2 linked regions of the Caenorhabditis elegans genome follow. The protein of the gene in region 1 interacts with the protein of each later gene in a pairwise test. Each region holds a gene or a part of one and is shown in the gene's direction. Other genes may lie near its edges. The genes, in order: lido-15 and pas-4.

The links.
Region 2: the proteins of lido-15 (region 1) and pas-4 interact in a two-hybrid assay, tested with the Caenorhabditis elegans proteins (2 studies listed by BioGRID).

What each region holds. Positions count from the first base shown.
Region 1 is NC_003280.10:3,810,266-3,814,170, forward strand, and holds lido-15 (MADF domain-containing protein), read left to right. Parts: upstream 1-2,016; 5' UTR 2,017-2,040; coding exon 2,041-2,525; intron 2,526-2,579; coding exon 2,580-2,796; intron 2,797-2,850; coding exon 2,851-3,081; 3' UTR 3,082-3,163; downstream 3,164-3,905.
Region 2 is NC_003279.8:8,726,392-8,730,008, reverse strand, and holds pas-4 (Proteasome subunit alpha type-7), read left to right. Parts: upstream 1-1,521; coding exon 1,522-1,620; intron 1,621-1,881; coding exon 1,882-2,133; intron 2,134-2,179; coding exon 2,180-2,476; intron 2,477-2,556; coding exon 2,557-2,670; 3' UTR 2,671-2,791; downstream 2,792-3,617. Other genes in the region: rpb-3 (DNA-directed RNA polymerase RpoA/D/Rpb3-type domain-containing protein), read right to left, coding at 45-172, 218-306, 356-603, 756-881, 929-1,063, 1,118-1,240. UniProt on the Caenorhabditis elegans protein: The proteasome is a multicatalytic proteinase complex which is characterized by its ability to cleave peptides with Arg, Phe, Tyr, Leu, and Glu adjacent to the leaving group at neutral or slightly basic pH.

The sequences.
Region 1 (3,905 bases):
TGAAAAATCTGCAAATTGCCGGAATTGAAAAATTCCGGCAGATTGCCGGAATTGAATGTTTCCGGCAAATCGCCGGAATTGAAAATTTCCGGCAAATTGCCCATTTGCCAAACGACAATTGCCGCCCAACCCTGAGTTAAAAACCAGTTTCCCTGCTTCCAAAGGCGACCAGAGAAAGAATAGGCAGTAGGCGCATACGCCTGCCTACCTAGGAAAACCTACTCAATTCTTATGTTAAAGCTTCATCTCTTCATATCAGCATCTCCATGACAACAATTTTGTTTTCAAATTTGTTACCTTGCTCCGCTGTGCTCCCCTCCAAAGGCGTTTAATATCAAAAGTATAATATTTATGGCTGCACACACACATTATCAAAAACTTTGTCCCCCTCTTTCCCTGCGCCTCCACCTCTCTATCTCGTTTTCTATAATTCTCTCCCAGTTTTCTTGCTGACTAACAAAAAGCGACGCGGCGTCAACAACAAATTTCTTGTCGTCTCCACCCCACGGCCAGTCTGCGTCTCTTCGTCTCCAATGCTCTATCTCTCGTCCAGTTTTTCATATCTTTCCCCCCTTCAGTCCACATTATTATTTGCCGCACTCCACATTTTTGCAGCACGTTTGTCACAACTAGTATCGACTTTCAAATCGTAGTTGACAACTGACAAAACTAATTTTCAAAAAAGTTTAATTTGCGTTTGGTAAACTAAAAAATATCTTTTAATTTGTGGTTCAATTCAGACGTGGGCGACAATTGCCGTTTGGCAAATTTTTTGAAATTACCGGTTTGCCTTTTATCCGGAAATTTTCATTTTTCGGCAAATTGCCGGTTTGTCGTTTGCCGGATATCAGATTTGCCGGAAGTTTTCAGAGTGATTTTTTATAAGACGAAAACATTTAAAACTATGCTTTTTTGAAATTTTTGTACCGTTTTCATTAAATATTTTCATAGAATTTGCTTAATTTTCAAAATAAATGTAGGAACATTCATAGAATGCGTACAATTTTGCCGCTTGAAATTGAAAATTTGAAATTTCGAAAAAAGAAATGTGCAAAATTACAATTGCCTTTTTTCCCGCAAATTCGACAACTCGGCTATTTGCTGATTTGCCTGAAATTTCAATTCCGGCAAGTTGCCGGTTTGCCGATTTGCCATAAATTTCAATCCCCACAAATTGCCATTTTGCCAGTTTGCCGGAAATTTCAATTCCGGCAATTTACCATTGGCCGGAAAAAAGCGTCATGGGTCTTGCCGCAAGCTAAACGTTCCTAGCTACAGTACCCCGTGGCGAGACCCAAAAAAATGTTCAATTTCATATCATTCCCTGACTTTATTATATCAACAACTTTCTCTCTCTCCCTCAGCAATTTCCTTTTTTCTCTGCTCCCCATCACTCTCCTTGAACATTTTTCCTTGCTGCCTAACAAAAACGCGTCAACAACAAATTTCTTGTCGTGCTCAACATTGTCTGCGTCTCTTCGACCTCTTTTTTATGTCCCAGTTATCATGCTGAAAGTTTTTGTCGTCGAAATGAAATATGTTACTCTAAAAAAAGTTTTTTTTTTCACTTTTTCTCTTCCCACTTTTATCGAAATTCATCGTCAAAAAATGTTTTAATATTGACTTTTCGCTTCACTAAGTTTAGCTTTACACCTTTCTCGAGAAAGGGGTAAAGCTGCAATTGCGCTCCATTGATAAACTTACTGGCAACGTGGGGTCCTGAACTATCAGTTCGCGTGGTGCCAAGGTGTCCCATGATCTACATGAATCGCGGGAAAGTAGACGCGTCAGCACGCCGATTTCTCATCTGATTTCGCAAGGTACTGACGTCACATTTTTCTTGGCAAAAAAGATTCCGCATTTTTTGTAGATCACACCGTAATGGGATAGCCTGACACCACGTAATAAATAGAGAAAAAAATTAATATTGCTAATCTCTGTCTCTTTCAGAATCTTTTAGTTTTTATTTAAAAAAAAACAAATTTCTTTTTTTTTAACTAAAAACTTTAAAAATTTTCAGAGTTCAACTTGATGCTCGCGATGAACGCCACCGACTACCGAAAGCTCACCGAGCACATTGAGGGGACCAAGTTCCCGATGGACAATCTCATCAAAAAAGTATTTCTGAACATTTTGGAGCCAAAAGAAGACCTATGGAATAGCAACCAAAAAATTGATCGGGAACGCTGGGAAACGGTCGGAATCGAGCTTTTTCAGCGGACAGGAATCCTGGTTTCAGTAGATCAAATGCGATCCGGATTCCGAAGTATCAAGTCGAATCTCGGCCAGCGTCTTCACAATTGTGTCCAGAGCGGAATGAGCAGAATCCAGACTGAGCTTGAGCTTCAGAAATGGGAGCTGTTCCAGGATCTTCGGTTTTACTATGACAAGCTTTACAAGTATCGGCAGTTGCGAGCAGAACGAACAGGGAATGAGGCGAGGAATTCGGAGCCCGTCAGCGGAGAGGATATGCAATCGTTCTTCGAAGAGCCCGATATGATGTCGTTGGTTGAGGAGAATGATAGGTAATTTAACTTGTAGTCTTGTATTTAATTTTTCTAGAAAATTCCAATTTTCAGCGCCATGAAGTACCTCTCATCTCTTATTCCACAAGTCTCATCGACCTCGACTCCCACCAAGGTTAAGCTGGAGAATCCATTTCTCAATGCTTTCGAAAACCCGATGAATCTGAGGCATGAGCTGAGTCAGATGCTCCAGGCAAGCTCGTCGAGTTCTTCAATACCTTCACCTATCTCTCCACCAGTGCCGAATCCAAAAGCAGAGGATGAGGAGAAGGTATCGTTTTTTAGACTTATTTGCAATATTCCTCAACATTTTGAAAACTTTCAGCCGTCTCTAAAACGCCCTCGAGAATCCAGCCCAGCGGCAGTAGAGACAGAACGAATAAGCCAGCAAATCAAACGAATTTTCGAGCAATATCCCGAGAAAACCAATCTGATCCGGTCTGTGCTCACCTACACCGTGCTTGCTTTTGATGAGCCCGACGCGGATTTTTCGACGGCTTCAGAGGTGTTCGGCGATCTAGCAGCAAGGTTTCCAGTTCGGAACTCAAAGCGATGAATCTTTTTAATAATAAAATTGTTTGTTGATCTACGTATGTTATCGAATAACTTTATTTCCAAATAAAAAAGCAACATTGTAGTATTAATATGGGCACGGTTCCCATCTATTAACCGCCGAGCCGTCTTTAATTCCTGCGCTTCTCAGTGTTTCGTCAACTCGGAGCTTACTATCTGAAAAAAATTATTGTGCAGTGATAGCTGAAAAAATATGAGTTTTTGGTTTTTAGCTGATTTATAAGACTTAACAATTAACTAGAATATAAACTGCAGATCACAGCGCCTCAAATCGGGAGAGTTGTGAAAATCGAGAATTGGAAAGTCCAACGGAGCGCGCTTGCACACTTTTACGGTATTAAATGAATTTCACGCGAAATTTCGCGATTATTCGAGTTTTCAAGATGAAATTTGGAAAAAATAATTAAATATTGGGATTAATATTGCTTTAAAAAAAATTAAAAAAAAAATTTTATTGAACAAATTCAATATTTGGTTGATTTATCATTGATTTTCGAACCGATTAGAACAAGTTAACTCTATGACAAAATTTCTACGCGAAACCAATTTTTCAAGCATCAATATGCGTGATTCCAATTTTTAAACGTCAGCTTGATAGAAATAACACGGTTTCAAGTCTTGAAATTGCTCAAAAATACCCAAATTAACGGAAACTGTTTAGTTGGCAGTTGATCTTCACTAAACCAACACTAAATGTTCAGATGAAATCAAAACTTGTTTTATCATTTGAAAAAACATTTTTGAATTATTGTTCCTCACAAAAATCAGATGATAAGTAGTATTGCATGATGAGAATCCATATACAAA
Region 2 (3,617 bases), on another chromosome or scaffold:
AGAAGAGTTAATAATAACGTAAATAAATTAGAGATCCAAATAGTTTACTGCTGCTGGGCATGAGCTTGAAGTTCATTTGAAAGAGCCATATTTAGTTCCTCCAGTTTTCTCTTCAAGATTCCGATTCCCATTGTCACGATTCGCTGTGCTGGAAGAGCACCAGTTCCTTCGACTGAAACATTTAAAATTATAAGCAAAATATCTGACCGTGACTTACTAGAGAACCAGAACTTGTTAGGCTTGTTGTCCGGCTCGAATGGTGCCTCCTTTTCAGTGCTGTCTTCTGGTAAAGATGAATGATCGCTTCTGCAAAAAAAATGTACGAAATTCACAAAATACTGATAATAGTTCTTACCTTGGCCATTCCTCAACATTCGGATAAATTGTATGTCGGAGAGCATTGTCTGGATCATATTCAAATGCAACTCCACAGGTGGGATTCCATTTTGCATGTTCCTTTCCGAAACCCTTTTTAACATAGGCTTTTAGGTTAAGCTCTTGTCCCTTACGCAATTTTACAATCAGAATCTCTTCTCTGTTGTGAAATTCGTCACGGGTCGATCCACGCTCACGTAGTGCTTTTCCACAAGCTGGTCGGACGGTCTGTAAAATTCCAATTCAAATATTTATCAAATGTAGTGAAGTACGGACCCTAATAAGATTGCTCATCGATTTTATTTAAACGTTATTAATATTATTATTGAAATTTAATTCACTCCATTAAAAAAAAATGAGTTGCATTTTTTTAAATTTACCGTGTCTAAATTATGCATTGGCATTAGATGCTCGGTAGTAACAGCCAAAGTAGCTTCATCTTTACATTTCATCTGCAGAATGAACGGTATCGAACACTCATCGCAGAACTCGGCACATTCACAATCCTAAAACCAACATTTAAAAAGTTGTGAAAGATTCAACCCTATCTTACTCTGGTGTATTGCATTTTTTCGACATGATAATCAGATATGAACGGAATCAAACCCATGCGATGTGCAATAAATTCGTCGTGGAGGACAGAAGTGTTAGTTTCAATTTGAACCCAATCAATAGCTATGGTTGGCACCTGAAATGTAATTAAAAATATAGAAAGAGTAATGGTAAACAGGAAACAACTCACTTCTGCCATGAAAACTCGTCTCAGTGAATTTGCGACACTCAAATCAGTGTCCCACAGTACAAACTTGATTATATCATTTGTCAGTTCGGTAACCTCGATGTTAGGTTGATTTGCGTACGGCATTACTAAAAATGATTATTATAAGGAAAAATGAAAAATCTAATTATTGAATTGAAAACATTTAAGTCGAACAGAAATTCAAAACAAAACGTCGCTAAACAACACGCACATTCGTTATTTCGGAGTGTCGTTTCAGGTTCTCGGTTGGTAAGCGAAGTACGGTAACACTCATTTCAACTGTGCGCTTTTGTCACTGCACAATTTCAAATAATCATTTTTTAATTATTTTTTCGTTTTAAAGTTAAAAATGGTTCAGAGTTATTTCAAATTTTAAAATTTTTCAGATGAACAGATACGATCGTGCTATCACTATCTTCTCCCCTGATGGACACTTGTTCCAAGTGGAATATGCCCAGGAAGCTGTCAAGAAGGGTTCGACTGCGGTGAGTGGTTCCCCTGATGAAAATCAGTTGGCAGAAAATTATATGAGTTGCACTTTCATATGAATATGATATCAGCTAGAATTGAAGCACCCGATTCAAGAAGATTTTAGATCTATTTATCGTTTTATATTTAAAAATAAATCAAAAAATTCAATGTAGATGATTGATATTATCTATCTAAAAATCTAAAATTTCCCGAATTATGGTTCAAAATAATACGGTTATTTTTAAAACCTCAAGTTATAATTATGAATGTTTCAGGTCGGTGTTCGCGGAAAGGATTGCATTGTTATCGGTGTTGAGAAGAAGTCAATTCCAGCTCTTCAAGATGACCGCACAATCCGTAAAATTCATATGATCGACGACCATGTGATGCTCGCTTTTGCTGGATTGTCCGCAGATGCTCGTGTTCTTGTTGATCGTGCTCGTATCGAGTGCCAGTCGTACAAGTTGACTCTTGAAGATCCAGTTACCGTTGCCTATATCTCCAGATATATTGCAAACACGAAGCAGGTATAAATATTTTATTTATGCAAGCATAACTTTTACTGATTTTCAGCGCTTCACACAATCTCCAGGACGTCGCCCATTCGGAATTTCAATGCTCATTGGAGGATTCGATCATGACGGAACTCCACGTCTTTTCAAAACCGAGCCATCTGGAGCTTACTACGAGTACGTTGCCAACGCGACTGGAAGAGGAGAGAAACCAGTGCGTGAATACCTTGAGGAGCAATACAGCGAGGAAAATACTGTCGACGAAGCTACCACTCTTAAATTGGTTGTAAAGTCGCTGGCTCAGGTCGTACCACCAGGATCACAAAATATCGAGATTGCAGTCATGAAAAAAGTTAATGTAAGTGATTTCCACCTGAGATTATTTTCAGTAATAACATTTTTTTAAATTGAAGATGGTCCTTAATTTTAATTTTTTAGGATGAGCTGCAGCAACGTGTATTGTCAACTGAAGAAATCGAGGCTCTCCTGAAGGTTGTTGAGACAGAACGTGTGGCTGCTGAGGCTGAAGAGGCTGCATCCAAGAAGAAGTAGATTCGAACTTTTGTCTTCTGTCCATTATCCGTGTGTATTGATTTCCCAGTTATCTGCTCCCCTTTTCAAAACCTAATTTATTTTATTCATCTTTATTGACGGGAATGAAAAAGTTTTCCCTAAAATCTTCGAAATTCCTTTAAAACCATGAAAAGAAAGAAGCTATATATTCGAAATGACAAGATAATTGTGGGGTTCATTTGAAAAAAAGAGAAAAATATATATAAAGAAAATTCCAATTCGGCGAGCAATGGTTTCTGAAACTTCTAGCTTTCTGAAATATGGTATCCTTAAATGAGATTTGTTTTATAAGTTAACCTACATTTTCGAATAGAACGCATAATCTCTGCAATAATAATCACAGTCATTTTTTTTCCTGAAGTTCATTTTTCATTCAAAATTCTTCGATGAACCGATTGAAGTGGCAGTGGTTATGCAAATTGTTCTATACATTTCCTCTCCCAAGCAGAGGACCTTTTCGGTGAAATTCCGAATAAAAGTGAGCGGTACAAAAAGAGGGAAAGGAGGCAAATTTGAATATATTTCATTTATAAGCCTTCAAAAGTCTCCTCCTAGACTTACAAGATGCCATTGCCCTACGGCTACTTTTTTTTTCAAATATTAGATCTATTAATTTTATTAGATCTATTAATAAGATCTAATTTTTATATAATAAACTATTATATAAAAATTACCATAAAATTATTTTCAACAATTTTCTGGAACTTCGTTTTATATAATTGAAGACGATAACAATTATTTTTCAAAAACGTTGTTACATAAATTAGTTTCAAAAATAAAAAAGACTTTCAGAATATTAATCATAATATACGCCTTACATATTGAGGGAGCAATAAATTCTGATAATGCGTATACTGATACTCGTGGCGAAAACTACCGTAGCTTTAAATGACTACTGTAGCGCTTTTGCCGATTTATGGAAGTCA